Drosophila melanogaster: one gene and its partner. The protein of the gene in region 1 purifies or fractionates together with the protein of each later gene. This does not show direct contact. Each region holds a gene or a part of one and is shown in the gene's direction. Other genes may lie near its edges.

Region 1 (13,093 bases):
CCATTAATTTGACCCAGTTTTGAAAACAGCGGCAATAAGCCGCTTAAAAATAACCAACTGCAATGGATCGAAAACGAAACCGAATGATTCGCCAAATCTGGCAGCTGTTCAAATACAAGCTCGCAACAATATAATAATATTGTCAAATACCTACCTGTAGTCTTAAAATATCTGGGATCTGCTCACTTTTAAAGTACTTAATGGTATTGAAGCTAGACTAGAGGCGATTGTAGAACACCTTTTTTCGAGTGCACAAAGCATTGCCCCCAATGTCATTGCCTCACACTTGGCACCCAAAAGAAACGAATTGGAAAACCAAGCGTATCACGAAAACCCGAATTTTGGTAATGATGTAATGCCAACTTTCTGCGAACTAACCGTTTGGCAAACAAACCCAGAGGCCAAGAGAACAAACGAAGAACCGGAGAAGGAAATAAAATTGCACGCCTTTTGGTTCGGGTAATTGCGATATTTATTATCGCCCAGCCTTGTCATGTGCCCATTTGACTCTATGGAGTCCACGGAATATTCGAAATATAGCATAACCTGGTGTCTAGGGGAAACGGCGACCCGCACCCACCTGAAAAAATTTCGAAATCGCGGCCTGATGACAAACTTGAACTTTCTCTTATCGGAATCGGTGGCGTTATCTTCTCGCTGGGTTCAACCAGTTTTACTGATATGATATTGATCGTGTACGCTCTACATATGTACATACAGGGTGCTTTTACCTCTTCTTAGCCAGCTGCATTATGACATTAATTAATGTCTAATAAGATAAGATACGAAAATTAAGTTGAATCGACAAAAGACCACAAGCGATTGTCGTAAACGTCCATCGAAGCACATCGCTTTTCCACGAAAGATGTGGAGGTCTGGTCGACAATTGGTATGCCCTCTTTTATGAATGGGCAGATGTGTCACTTGGAAGAGTAGAGAATGACCTGGTCTTACCTAGTGAATGGATTCATTCAGACATTGTTCTTTAAAGATGTATAAGATACGATCTCTTAAAGAAGTTACGATTCATTTTCACCTTTTAAATTACAAATATTGACGGCATTCTACTATTATCTGTAGTATCCTGGCTGAGAAACTGCTGATCCACCTTAATAAAGCGGTAATTGGCCATGTGGCAATATGCCCCATTCAATCAATTGTATGGCACAAGTACAATTATAGCAAAAATCCCCACTAGTCATAAAGTTCGACTGGCGAGGAACCAAGAACACGGAGCCAGCACTTCCACTCCATTCCATTTCTTTCGACGGAGGAGTGAGCTTGAGTGAGCTCGTGTTGGGATCACCATTACATCGCACCTCGGATTTGCTCAGGTTCGGTAAAGTGCCAAGTAAGGGCTTTTCGTGGAAGCCCCAATCCCAAACTCCAAACTCTTATTCGACGTGAGTACGAGCAAAAAGTCTGTTTTGAAGCGGCCAAAACAGTAGGAAAGGCAAAAACGAAACAAAACGAAACGCTTTTGGGCAGCTCTTTCAGCAGATTTTTTCTTTTTTTTTTGCAATTGGCAGTAAATCGCGTTCAAGATCGGCCTCAGCTGTTGACGCTTTTTATGGCTCGCAGTGAGCTAAGAAAACAGCGGGCCCCAGTGATTGTTTAATACTTAATGGTTATCCGAGACCGAGACCCAGGCACTTGGCATGCGTCACAATGGCGGCGTGATCTCCTCGAGATCTCCTCGTGCCCAGAAGACTCGTCCCTAAAAGCGGGTGACTCAGCAACCGAGCGTCCAGATTCTCTTATATACATATGTATTTGCAACCGGCTCGATAAGTTTGCCCAGTTTGAATTTGAATTTCCAGTCTTTGCGGGTGCGAGAAATGACGATGATGACGATCGTTTGAACGAATTCGATCATCTTTACTCTCGGTCAGCGGCCTCAACTGGGTTCTTTATAATCTAACGATCCATTCAGTTGGATGATCTGGCAAAGCTATTATCAGGGTTTAAGTAATCGTCAATCTCGAGTGGATTAATAGAAACACCTTCTGCCTTTCTCCTTTCTGCAATTCTGTTTCTACTATTATGGGCTTTCAGTTGGACGATTTCTTTAAACATTTATCCAGTCAGAATCGATTAGATATTGAATAGGGCTATAAACTAGAACGCATGCGATGATAAGTAAGAACTACAATGCATCACGCGGTTACTCGGAATATACATGGTACACAATTTATTAAGTTTTAATCAATGATTGGATTAGAGTACTTCAAGCCCTGGCCATTTGGAGTAGGTGATAAAGTGGCACAACGTTAGCGTTGTTCCTGCCGTCGAGGAAGTTCTGGTGGGACAGCACGGCCCTGCCCTGGAAAACGCCAGGAATGGCGGCGGAAGTGAGTCCATCGGCACCGGGAAGTTGGTTATCGACCTCGCCAGCCGTCGAGGAGCGATAGAAGGGATAGTAGGGATAGCCAGAATAGCCGCCAAAGCCGGGATATCCAAAGCCCCCATATCCATAGCCGCCATATCCGCCGTAGTAGTTGTAGCCATTGTAGTAGGGATTGTAGTAGGGTCCCGGCGGAGGAGGAGGTCCTGGCGGCGGTGGTCCGGGCGGAGGGGGTGGCCCCCAAGGACGCTGCGGTGGCGGCGGATAAGCGGGCGGTCCTGGCGACCACTGCGGTGGATAGCCATACTGCCGTGGGTGCTGCTGATCCTCTGGTGGATAATAGTAATGGTGTTGTACTGACGGTTTCGGGGTGGTCGACGGGGCTCCCGAGGCCATCACCAGCTTGATGCCGCCCTTACCAATGGTCTTCAGCAGGTGCTCGTCAATCCCGCGTCCACTTCCCAGCGGATCGTCCAGCACCTGTTGCTGCTTTTCGGTCCTGGCCTGTCCGCTGACCAGGCTCGTCTGCAGTGGCGCCTTCTCCTGGAAACAGAGGCCGCTGACCAGCAGCTGCAGGATAACTGAAAAGGATGTGTCACTCTTTCTAGGCAGCCGATCGTCCGTACTCACCCAAACCAATCGCAGTCACTCTCCGATCCATGATCTCTCTCGGAATAACCTGACCACTCCAGTTGCATTGCCCTTTTATACGCGGTGCATCTGTGATGAGATGTGTGGGATCTCGTTCCCGGTTTCCTCATTAGAATAACCCATGCAGTGGCCCAAATTTGGGATGCCTTTCTTTCTTCTGTGTCCATCTCCATCTCCATCCCCAGCTCCAGCTCCAGCTCGAACTCGATCTCGATCTCGGATCGATCAAGCACCGTTCTAATAACTGCGCTCATTAATTTGCATATGATATAAATGCTTGTAGGGGCTTTGTGGGATCTTTCCACTTCTCATTCCACTTCCATGATCGTTCTGCCAGCCCTGCATTTTTCCAAATGAATTCGAAGAGTTCAATATCCCGCGATATTGCTGCTTGATATATGACGACATTTGAATGCAGATGAAGGTTGGTCATGCCACTGAACAAAAAAATATTCAGCAAAGCTCTTGAGTTGGCAACAAATTTTTTGGAAATATGTGCCCTTGAACTTATTGTATTATCGTTGAGTTTCCGTCTTTAGAACTTATCTTTACTTTTTACGAATGTATTTCTCCATCTCGCTACAAAGCAAATCAGCCTCTGCCTCTTGGTTTCCTATTCTTAATGCTCGACTATTTCTTTCGGTGTGCGATTAATGGGTTAGGAACTTTTTCGTTTGGGTGGGACTCATGGTTTTTGGGTTCCGTTATAGGTCGTGTGTCGTAGACATGTTTACGAGTCGTCTGATACAACAAAATGTGGAGTTCTCTGTTACATCACCCGTTGGAGTATTTCTGGATCGGGAAACCAGTTCCCCACTCTATTAGACCGCTGAATGGGGATTAAAGAAAGAGTGGATCAAGCCGACAAAAGCAACGCCCCCAGGGAACAGAAAGTCAATGACTTCATAGTAGGGAGAAACCGTGTTATTGCAGGGATATTGAGCAAAGTATAATTATAATGACTACACACTCATTAATATTTACAGTTTAATTCATTTTATATCCCCCAGCTAGTTTATCTAATCATGAAAGTATCTGTAGAGGCTTGCCCCGCCACCCAGTCAACTTTGGCAACTCTCTTATCATACAACATATACTCGTGTCAATTGGATCCCAAACAGTTCCATGAGATCTGCACTCACCTGCCCTCCAACTTGTGGATTCCTTAAATAGACGTAGCATAATCTTAGGCGATGGTTGGTTTGTCAAAAGTGCTAAAGTGATTGCAGAATGACTGCAAATGGCTGTGCCCATTGGGTGATGTATTCGTATATGGTTTTCGACATGATCGATATCCACTTCCATCTGCCCTACGTGCAATTAAACAATTATGTGACAAACATCGAATCACGGCGAGCTCGGCTCCAACGACTGGGACGTGTCTGCCGGTCTCTTCGAGAATTCCTGGGAAGTCTTCCCGGCAAACATTTCGCAATTAGTCAGGCATTCGTTCCAGTTCCACACAGCAAATCCCCTTCCAAGTGGCGCAGAGTGGATGGAAACACACAATAGTGGCGGTGGAGGCAATTGCAATCTAGTGTGTGTACTTACAATGTTTTCATTCGGCAATGACTTATTATTTAGCACACTGATAGCTGATAACACAGTGCTAATGTGAGCTGGAGCACTTTTCTGAGTCGGGGTTGTGAGTTTCGAGCTCTGACTCACTCAGAAATGTCCCGAAAGCGCGGCAGTCATCTAGAAATCTTGAAAGCATTAAGTTATAATTTACATTTTGGAGAAGCAAGTTTATGAAATTAGCTAATTGTGGAGCAAGAACTAAGTAAAGGAATTCCTTATGTACATTGAAATCAAATCCTTGATCTTCGCAATAATGGATACTAAGGACTACATAGAGTAAGCAGTGCTAAGATAAAGAAAGTGAATAGATTATAAATCATATAGAATAATTCTTGATTAGTTATCTAAAAACCAAGAAACTGGTTCGCGTAGCTAGGAGGAACCACATTATGAATCAACTGAAAACATTGGGTTGCTCGGAATGATGGGAGATGGGAACGCATATATCTTTAGGATTGACGCATGCGAAAAAGACGTATCGTGATCTCAGGTACTTGGAACTCCGGAATACAGCCGATCCGGAATTCTTTGGTGCGCTGCGTTTCTGTCATGGTCTCCTAAATCGGGTCCCGAGTTTATTCGCGAAAGGCACTATCTAATCGGGGACTGATTGGCGGCATTGCCCTCCTCATCGCAGTCATAGGTATATTATCGTTGATAAATGTGCCGACTAAAAAAAAAGAACAACACAAATTCCGACGAGGCCAATTGATATGTGGAGAGGAGAAGTATTGATGGTTAAAACGCCTCAACTGCCAGCGGATCGGTTTAGTTTGCCAACGGAGCCGTCAAAGGGCGGAATATGCGCGGAATCTGACACATCCTCCAGAGAATCATCAATTGGAGCTATCAGTGGTGTTTGTGCAGTAGTGTTGTGGAACAAGAAGAATCGAACAAACATGGCCAGGTAGAAGAAGCGTGATTTGAAGAGAATCCATCTAGAGATGTGCAATTGTTTACTCAGTGACCTAGTGAAGTGTCCTTGGATAATCCCACAGTTATATGACCAGCATTTCTTAGGAATCTTAGAAATCCTACCAGTCACAAATCCATTGCATAATCGTTTCTTTTATGGTTTTACCCGCCGCGTATCAGCAGAACTGGAGCAGTCGTCCAATAAAGCAAACTCTTACCACTTGCCCACTTCCCTTGGCCCCATGAAATATGGCATTGATAAGGTGAATTGCACCTGCCCACCATTACTTCTATGGATCTATAAATACCCCAGATTGGGTATTTGCATTGGGACTCATATAGAATATTATATTGGATATGTCTGATGAGATCATTTGGAATTGATCAACAATATCCACATTCACGAGTCACTATCATTTGCCTGATTCATTTCCGCAGGACTGTTATAAAATATTGTCGAATAGCGAAAATCTTATCTTTGGGGTTTCGGCTTTCTATGGGGCTTTTCTGAATTGGTTTTCAAGAGGTTTTTCCTAATCAAGGTGGTTAAACATGGCAACCCTTTCAGCTGGGCAGTCCGATTAGGTTCGTCAAAGATAAGACCTATGAAGAGGATTTTCTTAGGAAGTTGAAAAATTAACAATGAAGCAAGCACCAATCGTTTCTGTGGGATCTGTATTTAAGGAATCATTTTGATGCTTATGTGAACCCCTTTCTTTGCTTTAGTTTTAATTCCCAACTGAAAATGGAGACGGGCCTGCACGAGCGTGATCGTGCTGGAGTCCAGGACTTTGTGCTCCTCGAGAACTACCAGAGCGAAGAAGCCTTCATCGGGAATCTGAAGAAGCGGTTCCAGGAGGACCTGATCTATGTGAGTAAAAATAGTTAAAGAAGATAGGTCAAAATAATGATAACGATATCCCCTTTCGCAGACCTACATTGGCCAGGTGTTGATCTCCGTGAATCCCTACAAGCAGCTGCCCATCTACACCGATGACCATGTCAAGGCGTACAGAAACAAGCACTTCTACGAGATGCCCCCACACATGTGAGTCTCAAGACCAAGTTGCATTGAACCACCAAATAATGAGCATTCCTGTCCAGCTTTGCGGTGACTGACAACGCCTTCCGTTCGCTGATCGAGGAGAACCGCGGCCAGTGCGTGCTCATCTCCGGAGAGAGTGGTTCCGGCAAGACAGAGGCCTCCAAGAAGGTGCTGCAGTTCATAGCCGCCTGCTCCGGCAACCAGACGACCGTCGAGGGCGTCAAGGACAAGCTGCTAAAGAGCAATCCCGTGCTGGAGGCCTTCGGCAATGCCAAGACAAACCGCAATGACAACTCCTCGCGGTTCGGCAAGTACATGGACATCCAGTTCGATTTCAAAGGAGCTCCGATCGGAGGCAACATCCTAAACTATCTGCTGGAAAAGTCGCGAGTGGTGGCTCAAATGGGAGGCGAGCGCAACTTCCACATCTTCTACCAACTCTTGGCCGGCGCCGACGAGGCCCTTCTGCAGGAACTGCGCCTGGAGCGGGCTCTGGACACTTATAGCTACCTGACAGATGGGGTAAGTGGGCAGCCTGGAGGGTATTGACAATTGGTCTCTGATCTTCGAGTTCTAATCCACAGCTCAATGGCACCGTGACGAGAATTAACGATGCGGACAGCTTCAAGCAGGTCCAGCAGGCTCTCACTGTGATCGATTTCACCAAGGAGGAGCAGCGCGAGATCTTCGGAATCGTGGCCAGCATTCTGCATCTAGGAAACGTTGGCTTCACTGAGGTGGAGGGCAATGCCAAGGTGAACAGCAGGGATCTGGTAGTCACCGCTGCTCGTTTGCTGGGTGTAAACGCAAGCGAACTGGAAGCCGCCCTAACGCACCGCACAATTGACGCTCGGGGAGATGTGGTGACCTCACCACTGAACCAGGAGCTCGCCATCTATGCCAGGGACGCCTTGGCCAAGGCTGTCTATGATCGTCTGTTCTCCTGGCTGGTTCAGCGCCTCAACATCTCGCTGCAGGCGAAGGAAACGCGGGCATCCAGAAATAATGTGATGGGCATTCTGGACATCTATGGCTTCGAGATCTTCCAGAAGAACAGCTTTGAGCAGTTCTGCATCAATTTCTGCAACGAGAAGCTGCAGCAGCTGTTCATCGAGCTTACCCTTAAGTCGGAGCAGGATGAATACCGCCGGGAGGGCATCGAGTGGATACCTGTGGAGTACTTCGACAACAAGGTGATTTGCAATCTGATCGAGGAGAAGCACAAGGGCATCATCTCCATACTGGACGAGGAGTGCTTGCGACCAGGAGAGCCCACGGATAAGACCTTCCTTGAGAAGCTCACCCAGAAATTGGCCCAGCACCACCACTACGTTTGCCACGAAAAGGCGCCCGCCCACATCAAGAAAATCATGCTGCGCGATGAGTTCCGCTTGGTGCACTATGCCGGCGAGGTCACCTACAGTGTCAATGGATTCCTGGACAAGAACAACGACCTGTTGTTCAGGGATCTAAAGGAGACCCTCAGCAAGGCTGGCAACGGCATTGTGAGGAACTGCTTCCCGGAGAAGGAGCTGCGCAGCCTGAAGCGTCCGGAGACGGCTATCACCCAGTTCCGGGCATCTCTTAACAACCTCATGGACATTCTGATGTGCAAGGAGCCGAGCTACATTCGCTGCATCAAGCCAAACGACCTGCAGACTGCCAACGTCTTCAACGATGAGTTGGTACTGCACCAGGTCAAGTACCTTGGCCTGATGGAGAATCTGCGTGTGAGGCGAGCTGGTTTCGCCTACCGACGAACGTATGAGCTCTTCCTGGAGCGCTACAAGTCCCTGAGCAAGTCCACCTGGCCCAATTACAAGGGTCCCGGTGGCCCGAAAGCGGGTGTCCAGCAGCTGGTGAAAGATTTGGGCTGGGACGAGGAAAAGTACAGGGTGGGCGAGACGAAACTATTCATCCGCTGGCCGAGAACCTTGTTCGATACGGAGGATGCCTACCAGGAGAAGAAACATGAGATAGCGGCCATCATCCAGGCCCACTGGAAGGGATTGATGCAAAGGAGGAAGTATCTGAAACTGCGTGCTCAGGTGATCATAATGCAGAGCTATTGTCGCCGAAAGTTGGCACAGCAGGCGGCCAAGAAGCGCAGGGAGGCCGCCGATAAGATTCGTGCCTTTATCAAGGGCTTCATCACCCGGAACGATGCCCCGAATGGCTTCAATGAAGAGTTTATTGCCAACGCCAAGCGTATGTGGCTGCTTCGACTGGCGAAGGAGCTGCCCACCAAGGTACTGGATAAGAGCTGGCCCCATGCCCCTGGGCACTGCGAGGAGGCCTCCGGCATCCTTCACCGCCTGCACCGTCTCCACTTGGCCAGGATCTACCGCCTTAAACTGACGCCGCAGCAGAAGAGGCAATTCGAGCTGAAGGTCCTGGCGGAGAAGGTCTTTAAGGGCAAGAAGAACAACTACGCGAGCAGTGTGTCCACTTGGTTCCAGGAGGACCGCATCCCCAAGGAGCACATCCAGCGAGTCAACGACTTCGTGGCCAGCACCTTCGGCAGCGAGCAGCTTAAGTACCAGTCCTTCTGCACCAAGTTCGATCGGCACGGCTACAAGTCCCGCGACCGCTTTATCCTGCTGAGCAACAAGGCTATATATGTCCTCGACGGCAAGACCTACAAGCAGAAGCACCGCCTGCCGCTAGACAAGATCGACTTCACGCTGACGAACCACAACGACGACCTGATGGTCATCCGCATACCGCTCGACCTGAAAAAGGACAAGGGCGACTTGATTCTGATCATTCCGCGCATAATCGAGTTCAGCACGTATATCATTGACACCGTGGGAACTGCCTCCATCGTCTCCATTGTGGACAGAAATTCGTAAGTTGCACATCGGTTATCCCAGTGGTTTTCTCTTGACTAAGTGTTGCATTCGTTTCCAGGTTGGAGCACAACGTAGTCAAGGGCAAGGGCGGCGTCATCGACATCCAAACCGGCGCCGAGCCCGGAGTGGTTCGTGATAAGGGCCATCTAGTTATCGTAAGTAGTGCGAGCTCCAGCTCCTCATGAGGAAACGCCCATTATCGTGCTGACCTCACACACCAAATATTTCTTTTCAGATTGGAACGCAATAAGGAATTTACTATGACTTTCTTCAGAAAAGTGGCTTTAAATCAAACGACCTTGTTTTGTTATATTCGTGTAATTTATAGTGTAACTATGTATTTTTGTTACTGCAGCACCTGAGAGTTGTGTATTCGGATTTTATATGACTAATGTTCCAACTAAATGTATATTGTTTAAAAATACATATAAATATATTACAATTTGTATATGAATTGGGTTCTTATCACTAACTTGTGGTTTTTCAAAGAGGAAACGTGGCAATTTTTCTAGTCTCTTATATCGTTTCTTTCAAAAAGAACCGCCCACTCGATTGGCAAAAGCAGCAGTCGATAACTTTGCTTTGAAACGTCAGTTCGGTGCTCCAGACTTTAAAAATCTCGTTAAAGTCGTGCCCAACTCACAAAAGAAGATTTCAGCTAACGTTACTACTGAAATTCATGTGAATTAATATACCACTAACAATTATTTAACTGTAAATTATAGTTGGGAAAGTTACTTACTCATTATTCAAGTATTAAGTATTTTTAGTATTTATTTGCGTAAGTTGAGAAACAGCTTAGTACATTGCGCATACGGTCACACTGCTACCTTGCTGTCTTTTTCTTGCTCCAGCACTTTTACATAATCTTGAAAACTCAGCGTAAATATCGCCCAAAATACGAGACCTGCACTCGTGCACCGTCTGCAGAGATGCGATACTAACCCGCTGCGTTTCCGTTGCAGGAGAACCGAGATGTCGTTCACACAGATCGCGCGCAGCTGCAGTCGACTGGCGGCCACTTTGGCCCCAAGGAGGGTCGCCTCCGGCATTCTCATCCAATCACAGGCCTCCAGGATGATGCACAGGATCGCCGTGCCATCGATGACCAGCCAGTTGAGCCAAGTAAGCGAACGTCCAAAGCGGTCCCTTCCGTTGCAGGAGCCCCAATCGCAGTTGAGGACCTAACCTCATCGCAAACGGCGGGGTTTCGTGATCTACGAGTTTCAAAACATTCAATTAAGTGCTTGCAATCATGAACGCAACAGAAGATCCTCGCCATGTGGCCGTCGAACCACCCAATTCGATTGCATCACATTATTTTGCATAAAACATGATTGTTTCCCTATCGCACACACACACACATACACCTGCAACACCGGTGCTCGCACTTGTGTGCGGTTGATTGTACTACAGTGAAAATCCTCTAGAAGTGACCTTAAAATGTAGCGGTTTTAAAACATGTGATTTCAGTTTGTTAAATATCTAAATATGTTTCCACGCCAATCCAAGCAATAGTTTTCGCGGTATTTAATCAGTTGATCATACACCATCGAACCACCCTCGTTTAAATTGCGTATATATTTACACTGCTCATTGAAGAATTAGCTAAGTTGTATGCACCATAAGTCGTAGATGAACTACCAATGCAATTATTCATATAGAGACGAAAATTCACTAGACATTAACATTCGCAGAAGTTCGGTGTGCGCAGCTACTCGGCCAAGAGCACCATCGAGGACATCAAGTTCCGCGTGCTAAAGGTTGTCTCCGCCTACGACAAAGTGACCGCCGAAAAGGTAAAGTACCCATTGCATGGCGCCACTAATCCGGTCTTTGTTTCCTTCCTTTTTTTCTCGGGCCGGCCAAAAACCAGGAGTGCCGTGGTCGCTGGCAAACGCAATTGGTGCGCAGATACTCGGCGAAACCGCCGCTCTCGCTGAAGCTGATCAATGAGCGCGTCTTGCTTGTGCTCAAGCTCTACGACAAGATCGATCCCAGCAAGGTAAACGCCACATATTGCCTTTGCCAGTGCAATGGTCGCCTCAGAAATCAGAACTGAACAAAGCTGATGAAACCTTTGAATACCCAATGCTAATGGCTCGCATTTACAGCTCAACGTTGAGTCGCACTTCATCAACGACTTGGGACTGGATTCCTTGGACCACGTGGAGGTCATCATGGCCATGGAGGACGAGTTCGGTTTCGAGATCCCCGACTCTGATGCCGAGAAGCTGCTTAAACCTGCCGACATTATTAAGTACGTCGCCGACAAGGAGGATGTGTACGAGTAAATTGTAATTGTAATGCAAGCCATTGAACGGATTACACTTAAATTTAAATAGAAAACAAGTCAAATACAATTTGATCAACTGAATAAACCAAACGTTAAATTAACTTGTAGTCAGCAATTGTACACGAGGGCTATAATTAACTGCGGAATAGCAGCTAATAAATTAACTATCCAAATAAATAAACGAGTCATTTAGTACTGGCGGTTAAATTTAAATTTCGATAGAAACGTTGGTCTTTCGATTGTTTTAGAAAGCCTTGTGTATTTTAGATACGCAGCGACGGTCACGTTAATCTGCTAGCATTACAAACAGAATATTCGAAATGTCAGACGCTGTGGACAAAATGTTGGCGGGAATGGGTAAATATATCTTTAAACCACCGACACGCGTTCTATTCCGTGCTTCCAATTTCAGCGGCCAATCGGCAGACCATGAACCGCCAGCTGGCTAAGATAGACGAGATAATGGAGCGGTCGAACAACACATTGCTCCACATCGAGTCCAACAGCAAGGCATTCAGTCAGAATGTGGCTTTGTCGGAGACCCAGAAGATGTACAACCTCAGGCCGGAGGCTGAGATGACCCTGTCCAAGATCCTGGAGAACTTCAAGCTGCTCATGTCTAGCAGTGACCAGCGGGAGGAGACATACAGCGCTCTGGAGGGCTGCCTGGCCTACAGGCATCGCGTGGAGCACCTTGGCAGCTCCGTGCGTAAGCTGGTGGCGCTCTACGACACCGTGGGCCAGATGAAGAACTCACAGGAAGAGCAGTATGCCAGCGAGGATTCCCCCTAGCTCATCCATTTTTAGAATTTATTATTATGTTATAGTTGAAAAATAATTTAAATAAATTAAACATTTGATTTGTATTTAAAGCTCTTTAAGCGAGGTTTTCAAATCATGGCCATATTGTAGCTGCTGACTTGGAGAAGCGTATAGGTAAGCACCTCTACGAACATCTCCAGGCGAGCGGCAAGACTCCCGGTGGCGAGTATCTCATTGGGATTGGGCAGCTGGAGGCTGTTGGAGCGCAGGTAGTTGAGCTGTTCCATATTGGCGGCTATGGTCAGAAGCTTCTCCTGCTGCTCGGATGTAAAAGCATCTGGCGGAGACTCACCGCCGGTTGGCATGAGCTTTTCCAGCTGCTGCGCAAATCCATGGAGCTGCGTCAGCTTCTGCTTGTATATGGATTCTGTGGTGTCCAGAGCGGCTGCCTCGTCGTAGATCTTGGCCAGCTTTCGCTGGAAACCCTTAAAATCATTGTACACGTCCACGGCACTGCGCTGCTCCTCCAGACGCGTCAGACTCAGCGAAACGTTGGATGTGTTGATGCCCATGGCCACCGACTCGTCTGCTCCTCGCAGGAGCGTTGAGTTGGTACGTTGTAGCTCCCGCTTCTTGGGCATTTTCTG
Region 2 (12,098 bases), about 20 Mb from region 1:
ACTTTCGGAAGTAGTGAGTCTCGGCGGGTGAGTGCGCAGGCGTTGAAGCCGAACATCTCGATATTCCGGGCTCGCCAGAGTAACTGCATGTGGGTAATAATTTCGGCTGTACTTGTGGCTTTGGGGCAAACCGAAGTGCTTGGGAATCATGTGAATCTAATAAGGATGCAGCTTTCCCCACTTTACCACATTCGAGGCACTCGAGTTTCGGCCATGTGCCTGTTGTTTACCAAAGGTTTATACATTGTTTTCCAAATCCATTAATTATAAAGTCACATTCAATTTCATTGGCTTTATAATAGATGGGTCTCGAAATCAAAGCCCCATTTCAGCAAAAGTCTTTGAACATGAGCTGAAAAATGATTCAGTTTGATTCAATTGTTCGTTGAAAAAACAACAAAATAAAAAAAAAAGAATAAAATGACTTCTATTATACCGCCGGGCTCGTTAGTTCCGCAGGCGCAGGGCGTAGAAGCAGCCGTACCCGTATGGTTCAAGATGGACTGGAGCCCGGAGATAGAGCAGGGCATCTACAAGGACTGGGGAACCTATTACAGTCGCCGGCGCAGGGAGAATCTGGGCATGTACTACTTCGACAAAGCCCTTAAGCTTGGACCTGCAGATTTCACGACTCTGTATCGCCGAAGCCAGAGCAAAAGGAAGAATGCCCAGGCAGATGGGGCACTTAAGGACAGTTTGGAGGCAAAACGTAAGCTTAGTTCGTTCTTCTTGAAAACTTGCATTAAGTAGATCGATTTCGGCCACAGGACTATTGAAAAACTTGCAACGCTATGATGCGCCTATTAATTTGGAGGTCTGCGATGCATTGTACGAACTAAATCAGCTTGAGAACGCCAAAGCCGAGCTCCACGACAATACCCGCCTCTTTACTGGAAACAAAACTAAAATGTTCGAGCAGCGACTGGTGGTGGTACGATGGTGTTTCGGGTTGAGTTTGGGTTTCTCCTGATTTCTGGGGTGCTTCCAGGTGGACGAGAACATTGAAGATGCCTGTGGCCCTTCGATGACTCAGTACATATCGGACAAGGAGAAACTCATAGTGCACTTGAAGGAGGTACAGAACAAGTACAAGCCCGATACCAGGCCGCTTTGGAAAATTCTGAAGGAACAGGAGAAATGCGATGTCCTGAGCATTCCCGAAATCGAAGTGGGTATTATTGGCAAATTTGCAAAATTACCCTTACTGTTATAGGCCGTCTTACTAGGAAGAAATGCTTTCCCCCCTTGAAATTGCGAGGCGAAGTCGTGCTTTCGACGTGTTTAACCAGATGTTCATAGATAGGTCTTGGCATGATGTCATATTTCTCAAGCACGTTCGAAAGTAAAACCATTTGTGAAACTATAAAACATTGATTATAGCATATGTACCTACATTTTTGCCTTAGAAATCCAAACCTTCTCTTGAATCAGTGTAAGAACTCCACTGAGTACTTACAAACGCTTTCTACAAAGAAATATGACGAGATCAAAAGCTTTCTGGTGAGTTTGAGTGGTGAACCCGAATTATGAGTACCCAAATTGTCCCTAATTGTTTATTTCAGAAAATTCTGGAAGCCCGTAGCCCCATGTACAATATCCGATACCAAAAGTTCACAAACAAGAAGTTGATGGATAAGTTTCGCCAGGAATATCTTTTTCGAGTTCAGTACCAAACAAGACGAAACATGATTTCCGCACTGCGTAGTATTCGGTACCTTCGAAAAACCAAGAGTCTAACAGTAAGAATTTTGAATGAATTCGAACAGAGATTGGTTAAATGATTAATGGTTTTAGAAACTCACCAGTTACGTGGAGGAAGTTATGGGAGATTACGTGGTGAAAAAAACCAACAGGATTATGCCCTGGAAATTCGAATTCATCAACGAGGTGTACAATATTTTGGCGCTTGCCTACGTAGATCAGTACACGCTTCCGAAGAACTTTCGCTTTTCGGAGAAGAACGCACTGCTTCGATTGCTTCGCTTTCCTATGGACAAGTCAAAGGAAGTGAAACACTTCGTATTTGGGGATCGAACTACGCACCAAGGCTCGGAAACAGTAGATCCGGCCTTGACAAAATCACGGTAACTCGCAGTCGAGATAAAAATTCTATTTTAATTTATTTTGTTTTCAGTCTAATGGGAAACCGACTCGAGAACCGTATGAATTTCGCAAAGTACCCTATAGAGAAGTCCTACCTACTTCACCAAATGGCAGAGATTCATCTTAAATCACACAGGTTTGACGAATGCTGTTTTAGTGCCCGAAAGTCTATTGAAGGTTTGGTCCATTAGTGCTATACTATTAAACGGTTATGGAAATACCTATATATCTATCTTTTTAGAGGCAAAAAAATGCAATAGCTACATTTGGCAGTTTCTGTGCTACCTACTGATAATAAAGGCGAATGCTGCACTCCACAAAGTCGAGCGAACCAGTGAAGCTCTAGATCTGGCACTAAAAATTTCCAAGGAATTGAAAGAAAAGCATATTCATAACTTCTTGACTGCCTGTATACACTGTAATGAGGAGGAATTCATCGTGAAGAAGCAGAGCATTTTTGCGAATAGCCGGCGCGAAAGCGAAAAATCGGTGTATAGTTCCCTGTCCGTGCGCCATAGCAATTAGAGCTTTGTATTATTTGTATAACCAAAAATATTGATTAATAAATTCTCAGTGCAATTATAATAGTGTAGTGACCTATTAGATACCTATACTCAAGTACCCCTGCGTATTTGGAATTTGCATTCTTATTATCAACTTGCAAGCTCCTTCATGGCTAGATCGACTCGGCTACTGATCCTCTTTTAAAAATAATGCTTGTGTAACGTATATATTACACAAACATCGGGCTTACTTTTCACTAGTCTAAGCAAATTCTTGTCTTAATTTATAAAAATATAAAATATTTTGCAACACTTTAAAATATTTTATGGGAGTACAGATAATAAGTGCTCTTCTTTTTGCAGTGTTTTTATTTTAGTGTAACATACAACAGTTCTTCGCTTAAATCGATGGTTTTGATACTACAAATATTACACTGATGCTTTCTCTACCAGCTTGGCCATCATCTTCTCCTCCTTGGCCTTTCGCTTGGCCTCCTTCTGCTTCTTCTTGTCCTCCTTCTCTTTTTGCTCTAGCATTTCCTTAAAGCGTTCGTCGCGTGTATCCACCTTGAACCCGAAGTGTCGGCGCACCTCCTCTACCAGGCGTTCCTTGCGTTGTATGGCTGCCGCTGCATCCGCCTCCCGCTTAGCGATCTTCGCGTGCAGGTCCGCCTTCCACTGTGTCAACTTCTCCATCTTCTTCGCAATGTCCTCTTCACGGGCATTTATCCTTGCCAGCTCCTCTGCCTTCTGCGCGCGGTTCTTCTCCAGCATTTTCAGGAGTGTTTCTAGTTGCATAACCTGCCTGCTGTCTTTCTCTCCGTGGGAATCGAAGCAAATCTTGGGATTCACATTGCTCTGGGCCCCATACCGGCCGAATGCCTGTCTCTGGTACTTCTCGGTCAAATGAATCCAGGAGTGAGGTTCCTGGTATGGCAATTTGTTAAGGAGCACATTTTTGTGTTGTGGTTGCAGGCCGGATCTGTCCACCGTCTGGGGATATGTTGGTTCCACATCCACGTCGCCGACCAAGGAAGCCGGCAGTTCCGCTTTCGCAGCGCTCGAGTACTGGGCGCACGAGCGGAGGGCAGGAAGTCTGGTGACAACGCTTATCTTGCCTACATTCATTTTGAATTGTATTGTCTAAGCAAAATAGTTTATTAATTTCCAATAGAGATGAGAGAAAATCGATAGCGATGACACCAATGCTGGCAACTAAACCCTTTTGGAGCTAAATTCAGATATTTTTTAGGCCCCGTCAGAAAGATAAGTAATAGATATTAATTGTTGTGACAGTCTGGCTGCATCCCAGCTCAAGCTCTATATATTTCTTTTTTCCTTGCTATTTATTTCTATCAATTTGTAATTATCGTTTCCACGATTTGTTACTGACATTTTACTTGTCAGTTTTTATTCCGAAAATAGATTTCTGAGGCTTAAAATTATCATTTTTATGTTGTCAGCTCAAAATATAAAAGAAACATAAATTGATTATACATACGGGCGGCGCACAAGTGTACCCTTAATATACCAATCGTTATCGACAACAATGGTACGTGCACATATGCCCTAATGCAAAACTAAATTCTTGAAAGCGCGGAATTGCATTTAAAACAACTCGTTTTACTTAAGTTGAAATAAGCATTTGCTCGGATAAAAGCCTACGCCACGACATGGCGGGGGATCGTGCCTTAAGTTCCAAGCAATTGGCGGGGCGCATACATTCCGTGTACTGCAAAGATTTCGTGTAGGTTTATTTCCATCAAAGGCGCAAATTGACAATTTCGCGGCTCATTTGATTATTTCCAACAACAGATCCTACAGCGAGATCACATTCCATCCGAAGCACTACCTGAACGTTCTGACCGGTCCCAATGGCAGTGGCAAGTCCACCATCGTGTCGGCCATAATTTTGGGCCTCGGAGGGGAACCGATTCTCCTTGATCGCTCCGCCAGCGTTGCCGACTACATACAGAGCAACAAAACCTCGGCCACCATAATTGTCCGGGTGTATGGACGCACGCCCAACACCACGGAAACCTTTCGGCGCATAATAAACTCTAATGGCTTGTCTACCTTCTCTGTGAACGACAAAGACACCTCCAAGAAGAACTTTTTGGCTGCTGTATCCTCCTTTAACATACAAGTCAGCAATTTGTGTCAGTTCCTCCCGCAGGATCGGGTTCAGGTATGTCGTTATGTTGGCAATTCATAAATTACACACCTATTTATTGTAAACATACTGTTTCAGGACTTCTCCAAGATGAATCCTCAAGAGCTTTTGCTCAACACAATGTCCTCCGTGTGTGACGAAGACCTGATCAACAGCTTCAACAGTCTAAAGCAAATGCGCACAGAACAGGCGAATGTCCATGCTAATCGGGAAAAAGAGAAAAGTGATCTGGTTAAGAAGCAAAAACGATTGGAACAGTAAGATATAGTTACCCGAGCTTATTTTTATTCACTAAGTAAAATGTAACCAAATGTGTGGATGAAGTACAAAATTTTAATTCTTACTAAAAACCTAATTGTCTTAATATCATTTTATTAGCTTACAAATGACTGTGTCCCAATATAAAGAACGCGAAGAGGTCAAGCAAAAGCTGCAGGTGTACAGTGCGAAGAAATTGTGGGTTGAGACTCAGGCTGGAGAAGCCAAGGCCGCAGAAATGAAAACTCAAGTGAAAAACGCAAAAACTCAGAGCGACAAATTGAAGAACCAACATGACAAACTTCTTCAATCCCAAGAACAAATTGAGAAGGAAAAAGAATCACTCAGAAAGGCCTTATTGGAAAAGGTAATGGGTGGCAGTGTTTTTTAATATATTTTTTAAAAATAAGTTTTTTTAGACACGCTTATTAGAAAACGCTGTAGCGGAGAAGGCGGCTATTGATGGTAAAATGGACTCTTTGAAGCAAGGAATTTACCAAAAAAAATATGAACTGGAGGTTGGTGTTCTTGTTGCATATATCGATCATGTGAATAACTCTTAATCTTACATTCTGTCACATAGCAAAACATTAAAAAATCACGAAGAACGGCCACAGAGTGTGATAACCTAAATCAGTTGGTGGAGAATAAAATTTACGAGCTTGAAACCCTAAATAAGAGCAGGCCTCTGATCGTTTCGGAACTTGAAAGGGCTAAGGAATCGTGCGCAGCTGCCCGCGGGAAAGCAATGGAGCAGTACAGCAGACGGAGACAACTGGAACAAAAACTGAATGATGAAATGATTCCTGAAATTACTGCGTATAAACTTAAAATAGAGCGGTTGAGAAACGTCAAAATGCAAAAGATTGATGTAAGTTCTTACTGAAATAATGAAAACTCAACTTAACGCTACCTTTCATTTTAGGAAATTAGAGCAAAAAATCCGAATTTGGTTGTGGCCATGAACTGGTTGGCGCAAAATAAGCAAAGGTACAAATTGAACGTTTATGACCCAATGATACTTGAGGTGAGCTTTTCAAAATGAAGCCATTACCAATGGCCTAATGTTAAAACCGCTATCATAGCTTACAGTACAAAATCATGAGGACGCAAAGTTTTTGGAAAACGTTGTGGCGCAGCGCGATTTATTTGCATTTGCGTGTGAGGACAAGGGGGATATGTCGGACCTGATCAACGAGTTGTGTGTGAAGCAAAAATTGGGAGTTAACGTTATTTACTGCGCACCATCCGATAGACTCGTGTACAGTCCCAAAACTCCCATCGATGATCTGCGGTATGCACTTGTCAATTGTCCAATACTAGTCCAATACCTAGTTTTAAATACTTTTACAGCTCTTTCGGATTTCGGTCATACCTCGTGGATCTTGTCACGGGACCAATACCACTAATAAACAAGCTGTGCGCTTCCTATTCCATTCATAATATACCAATTGGCACAGAAGCTGTGGGCAATTACACTTCATCCATTCCAAAAGCTATCCGAGTTTATTTCGGCGGTGTGTATATTTTTCTTATTCGGTTTCGCTTCGCAAATGTATAAATTCTGATTTTGAATTCCGTACTGTGCATTTTAGGCAGCAAGAAGTTCGTTGTGACCGCATCCCGCTATCGGTCGGATACTATTCTAACTGAAAGTAGCATTCGAGCGAAGAACCAACTTATTACAGTGGACTCACAACAACTGGCCCTGGTGATGAAACAGTGCTCCGAAGCAGTGAAGGAAAGCGACAGCATTAAAAACGCAATAACCCAGACCGACAATGAATTTGAACGATTGCAAGCTGTTGCAAAGGATGAGCAAGAGAAGAGACGAAAGCTTGACCAAAAAATAGCCCATTTTAATAGCCTGAAAACCGAAATTGAAACGCTCCAAAAGAAGCTGGAAGCCCTGCGCAATAGCGATTGTAAGTATTTCTTAGTGCACTAAATATTCAGCCATTATGAACCGTGTTTTTTCAGCGCTAGACTGTCTTGAAACCAATTTTTGTAACAGTTTGCATAAAGACTTAAAAAAAATATTCGATGCTGATGCGGAATTGTGCTCGTGCTTGAAAGCTATTGACCGACTTATAATTGAAAAGAATATGGCCCAGACAAAGGTATCCATTTATATGCTGCAACATGAGACTCAAATTGAAGCCCTCAAGGAAAGCGAGGAACAGAGTAAAGCAGCAACCGTAAGGAAATCGAAATGCACTTAAGGAATTTATTTATAGGAATGTTTTGCTTGCAGAGAGACTTCCAACAGTTGCTGCAGTGCTTAGAAAATCAAATTAGCGACGTTAACAAACGAAAGAGCGCTATTCAGGGCCTTTGCCACGGAGAAATTCCAACCAGTAGCAAATTTCCTTTTAAGAAGGAATTTAGGGAGCTGGAAAATATAGATTTGCCCGAACTACGAGAGGCAATACATGACTTTCAGGCACGATTGGAGTGCATGAAAAGTGTAAACTCCGAGGTAAAACACTCTTTTAAATTAGTGAACTGAAGCTGATATATCTAATAACTTTCCATATTAAAATATGCAGGCCATCAGCAGCTATCAAGGACTGCAAAATGAAGTCAAGCAACTGGAGGAAGGAATTCAAGAGTCTGTTAACCAAGCAAAGAGCATCGAGTCTGGCATGTCCAATTTATACGACAAATGGGAGCCCAAACTTAATAGCTTGGTAGAAACAATCAGTACCAAGTTCAGCGAATTTATGGAGTCCATTGAATACGTGGGAGAAGTTGTGTTATCCAAAACCGACAAAGTGAGAACTTAAACTGTCCTACATAAAAACTTTACTTCAAATGTATTTCACTTTATTAATTCTAGTATGACTTTGACTCATATGGTATTCAGATAATGGTCCAGTTCAGGAGAGGTCTCCAGCTGCAGCCGCTGGACAAGTTTATTCAATCTGGTGGCGAACGCGCAGTGTCCATCGCCATATACTCATTGTCCTTGCAACATGTCACCCACGTGCCATTCAGGTGATTGCGGAACCCAGCTGCAAACTGACGCCCGATTTATAGTTCTCCATTTCTAGGTGTGTCGATGAAATAAATCAAGGCATGGACGCTACAAATGAACGTCACATATTCGACTTGCTCCTCAAAGAAGCCACCAAGCACGGCTCGGCTCAGTATTTATTTGTAACACCTAAGGTAAATATAAATGCTTATTCATTTAAATATTTAGTTAACTGTTTTAAATCTTCTTTGTAGTTGCTTCGAGACCTGAACTACAACGAACATCTCTGTGTTTCCATTGTTCACAACTCAAAAACTGTTTGCCATGGCATGCAATTCCCGATGGCTTAGACACTTTGGGTCATCCAGATTTACTATATGTATTTTTTTATATTAAACACTACAAAACATATCTATTGCATTTTGTCGAATGACCAGCCTTGTGGGGACTCCTTTTCGAACTGTTGGCCTACTCGGAATAAAATCTGTAAGCCGGTAAACAAGTCCAAAGGCAATGATGCCTGACGATTTGTTTTATCAGATTTCAATTTGTCCTCGATTTAAAACCCTACAACAGCACCTATATCTTATTTCATATGTGAAATGATTTTAACACTACAATGCGAATACTTTTAAGTAAAGAGATGCCTTTGTACATATGTTTTTTAAGTAATTGGATAAACTATTTTGGGATGTTAAAAAATATATTTATATTTATATATATATTTATATATATTTAGATATGCAATTTAATGCAAATCATTTCTTTACAGGGTTAATATTAAGCAAAGTATGTCAAAAGTATGATCCCTCGACGCAAACTATAAAAGTTCAGGTTAACTTCAGATAGATGGTTAGTTTTTTATCAGCTCCAAAGAAGTCGGGTTTTGATCGCAATCCGTGTGTGCCCTTATTATGGTTGGGATTTTTTAGATCAGCAGTTATTGCTATATAGCCATATTTATAAATCTTCTACTGGCCTACTAAGTCCCAACATAATGAGAGTAAAAACCACAGGTTCGACGTTCATGTGAAGATTAGAAAAATACAGACAAATATATTTCATAGTTCAAAAAAAGTTTTTAATGTCTATTTTAACAACTTTTGAGTACTCCAGATAGAGAAGCGCACAGATATTTAATATGATTGCAACGAACAGAATGGTGAGTTTCATAAAAGGGGTGTGTACAAGTTTTGAATACTGCCTTTGAAATCGCAGAATTGCAAAATTGCATTTTGGTCCCAAGAAAGAAAAGTTCAATTGGAAAATATGTTTTTGGCTAGTATTTTTGCTACTCATATAAATTGTAGTGGTAATCCCTAAAGTTCGATTCCGGACAGAGGGTATCAGTTCAGCCGCTTGTTGAGAGAAAACGGAATACCCCAACTTACTCGCAGTATATTTTGGTATTTTTCTAGGAGCTTAGGTTGTTTTTGCAATGAGCGGTCACTCTATTGGCAACCCTCAGACGATTGAAAAATTAAAATTAAAATTGAGCGTTTGGCAGGGAAATATGTATTCAAAGGCGGGATTTGTTCTAATTTTCGTGCTGGGTCTAGTGTCCAGCAGCTGGGTAAGTGTTAATCCCCTACGTACTGCACATAACGTGTCTAAACCAACGTTCTCTCAGGGATTCCTGGAGCATGACAGCTGGATTACAGTGGAGCTCCAGCACTCGCTGGCTGCAAACTCGGAAAGTTTCTCCTTCCGCGGGAATGTGACGATTCCCAGTCTCAACTCTGGTCTGGCCAATGTGGAGCAACCAGATCTGAGCACTGCCGATCTGGACTTGCTGAAGGTAACAGTGGTTCGGGCACATGGGCACGCCGGTAGGAAAATGTTCACCATTTTTCACCATCCAAGAGTGGTGTACTTAGTGCATCTTATGGAGTGGTTACAGGCGAATGAGGTGGCTAGATATTCGCTGAGTATTGAATATACTGCAGCATTAACCATTGTATTCTATAAGTGTAGAAATGCATTCAATTATATAGCCTGTTTGTTTCCATTTAGTTTTTAAAAAGATGCCTTGTCAGTTAAGTTTAAGCCTTCCTGTTGAACGTAATCTTAAAATAAGTATGCACTTAGTAATAACCCCTTTAACCTTTTTTAGAAACTGGCCCTTGGAAACGAGTTCTACCGTTTGAAGGCCACGGTGGTGTATTCAAATGGAGCTAAGGCGCAGTTCATCACTTCCAACAAGGCCTGTCGCCTGCTGCAAGCCCAATTGAATGACGTGCTTTGGGTGTCGCTCGAACCCTCCGGATACGTAACCGGCATCACTGTGTCCCAGGACACGGCCCCGGCCACTATAGAGTGCACCCAGGAAGACGTGAATAAGCTACTGGAAACGCAATTCAGCACCGATGTCCTCATCCGCCACGCTGAACTGGCCCCCGTGCCCGATACTGCTGGCTTTATTCAGAAGGTGGAGCGGGAGCGCGAGGCCAGGGAGCGCGGGGAGGTTCGGGATAACCGCGGCTTCTTTGCCAAATACGTAAGTACAAATACTTTGGCCTGAAATCCTTTATTACAAATTCACTTTTTTATTTTTAGTGGATGTACATCGTTCCGGTAGTTCTGTTGGTCTTCATTTCGGGAGCCACCAACCAGGACGGTGCAAAATAGGTTAACTGAGTGATGTGGTGTAATCTTTTGTTTGTTAGCTTTTTCTAATCACAATTCCTAGACAACTTTGGTTTTAGCGATTAAAGATTGAGTAAAATAAAAATGATTGAGACATTTTAAATTAAATATACACAGAAATAATGCTTTTGAGCTCCCAGAGGATTTCTTAAGAGTTGGCATAGGGTTTTGAGACCTCATATAAATATTTGTAATAGGATTTGCACCTGATTTTCGGTTCACATTGTTTTCGGAAATGGTGTGCAGTTTATTTTATTTATTTTATTATATTTTATTAATTGAATGCCTGCAAACAGCCGAGTTTTATTTGGTATGCTTATATTGTACTTTCAATTTGATAATTGAACGTTTGGAATTTTGCCGATATATTTTTCCTGGTTTTCGGATATTTCTGTTCCGTCCACACCGTGTAATCAAAATTTGAAATCACTTCAAATCTCTTCTTATATTAAGGTGTCAATTATTTTGAGTTTGTGTATTTCTCAATTTAAGACTGTTTCATGGCAAGCAAGCCATATTTTAGATGGTTTGGATGTATATCAGCCATGTGATTTGAACGTCCTGATCATTAAACCCTGCAAATAAGTTTCGGTTAAATTTGTGATCAAGGTAAGCAAATGTATACAAACCGTATTTCTGGATTTATATAGTTTTGTTTCTGGCAGACAATTCCCAGCTTATTCGACGCACTTCGTTGCTCTTACATATCAAGAAATGTTGCTCATATATTCAAAATCGAATGAGCTTCACATTTCAAAAATCAACACCTGGCAGAGAAAGATTTTCGAACTGCAAGAAATGCATTTGTAAAATGAATTTCAAGGGGCTCGAACAAATTATTCCGCGTCTGCTGCTCTTCTTAATGTGAAACTCCTTCGAGTTTGGGTATATGAACAACATTATAGGAAAGTAAAGCTGATCACGTTTGGGGCATCCTTGTTTGAATTTCTGAAGATTTTAGGGATCCTGGTCCAGATTAAGGTCAATTTTGTGGTTTTAAATATCTAAAAAGTAATGTACTTTCTGCATTATTTCCTTTGGATAAAGCTATTCGATAATAGAAACTGTCGGACCGTACAATATATGGGAAAAGTGTATCTTCGTTGCTATAATCATAAATAGTTCTAGTCCAATATTTTATTTATTTATTAGAGATGATAGTATAGTAGTTCAATATACACTAGATGTTTTAACCACATTTTGGGTTTAAATTTAATAACTACCATACTACCATAACCACCGACTACCATATAGCGCACACTTATAAACGGTCGGAAAATTAATTGATTCTTTATTTACAAATAGTATCCAGATAATCCAGATCCAGATTTTAACTAACGTATAATACAAGTGGAATATTTTTGAAAATGGGGAAAATGTACTTACTTGAAGCCATCTGAACTTAAATATATTTAATTTTTAAAATTGGTTTCCTCGA

The links.
Region 2: the proteins of Myo61F (region 1) and SMC5 purify together in Drosophila melanogaster (affinity purification with western blotting, with the first as the bait; one study listed by BioGRID). This does not show direct contact.

Annotation. Positions count from the first base shown.
Region 1 is NT_037436.4:1,319,778-1,332,870, forward strand, and holds Myo61F (myosin 61F), read left to right. Parts: upstream 1-4,785; 5' UTR 4,786-4,793; coding exon 4,794-4,852; intron 4,853-5,339; exon of another isoform or gene 5,340-5,475; coding exon of another isoform or gene 5,476-5,483; intron 5,484-6,217; coding exon 6,218-6,362; intron 6,363-6,423; coding exon 6,424-6,539; intron 6,540-6,595; coding exon 6,596-7,058; intron 7,059-7,120; coding exon 7,121-9,384; intron 9,385-9,446; coding exon 9,447-9,543; intron 9,544-9,623; coding exon 9,624-9,638; 3' UTR 9,639-9,840; downstream 9,841-13,093. Other genes in the region: CG9184 (uncharacterized protein), read right to left, coding at 2,228-2,925, 2,975-3,005; ND-ACP (NADH dehydrogenase (ubiquinone) acyl carrier protein), read left to right, coding at 10,364-10,513, 11,086-11,172, 11,265-11,393, 11,503-11,682; msd1 (mitotic spindle density 1), read left to right, coding at 12,005-12,041, 12,097-12,476; msd5 (mitotic spindle density 5), read right to left, coding at 12,575-13,093. UniProt on the Drosophila melanogaster protein: Unconventional myosin that functions as actin-based motor protein with ATPase activity. Binds to membranes enriched in phosphatidylinositol 4-5-bisphosphate, and can glide along actin filaments when anchored to a lipid bilayer.
Region 2 is NT_037436.4:21,565,100-21,577,197, forward strand, and holds SMC5 (structural maintenance of chromosomes 5), read left to right. Parts: upstream 1-4,152; 5' UTR 4,153-4,279; coding exon 4,280-4,353; intron 4,354-4,421; coding exon 4,422-4,794; intron 4,795-4,857; coding exon 4,858-5,036; intron 5,037-5,157; coding exon 5,158-5,404; intron 5,405-5,456; coding exon 5,457-5,555; intron 5,556-5,620; coding exon 5,621-5,908; intron 5,909-5,962; coding exon 5,963-6,064; intron 6,065-6,122; coding exon 6,123-6,331; intron 6,332-6,390; coding exon 6,391-6,554; intron 6,555-6,632; coding exon 6,633-6,962; intron 6,963-7,017; coding exon 7,018-7,235; intron 7,236-7,291; coding exon 7,292-7,516; intron 7,517-7,586; coding exon 7,587-7,811; intron 7,812-7,876; coding exon 7,877-8,034; intron 8,035-8,090; coding exon 8,091-8,208; intron 8,209-8,268; coding exon 8,269-8,364; 3' UTR 8,365-8,424; downstream 8,425-12,098. Other genes in the region: CG7634 (uncharacterized protein), read left to right, coding at 421-709, 768-931, 989-1,168, 1,227-1,342, 1,407-1,500, 1,563-1,739, 1,795-2,084, 2,135-2,280 and 1 more; CRIF (CR6-interacting factor), read right to left, coding at 3,036-3,734; EMC10 (ER membrane protein complex subunit 10), read left to right, coding at 9,528-9,587, 9,645-9,812, 10,128-10,511, 10,571-10,642.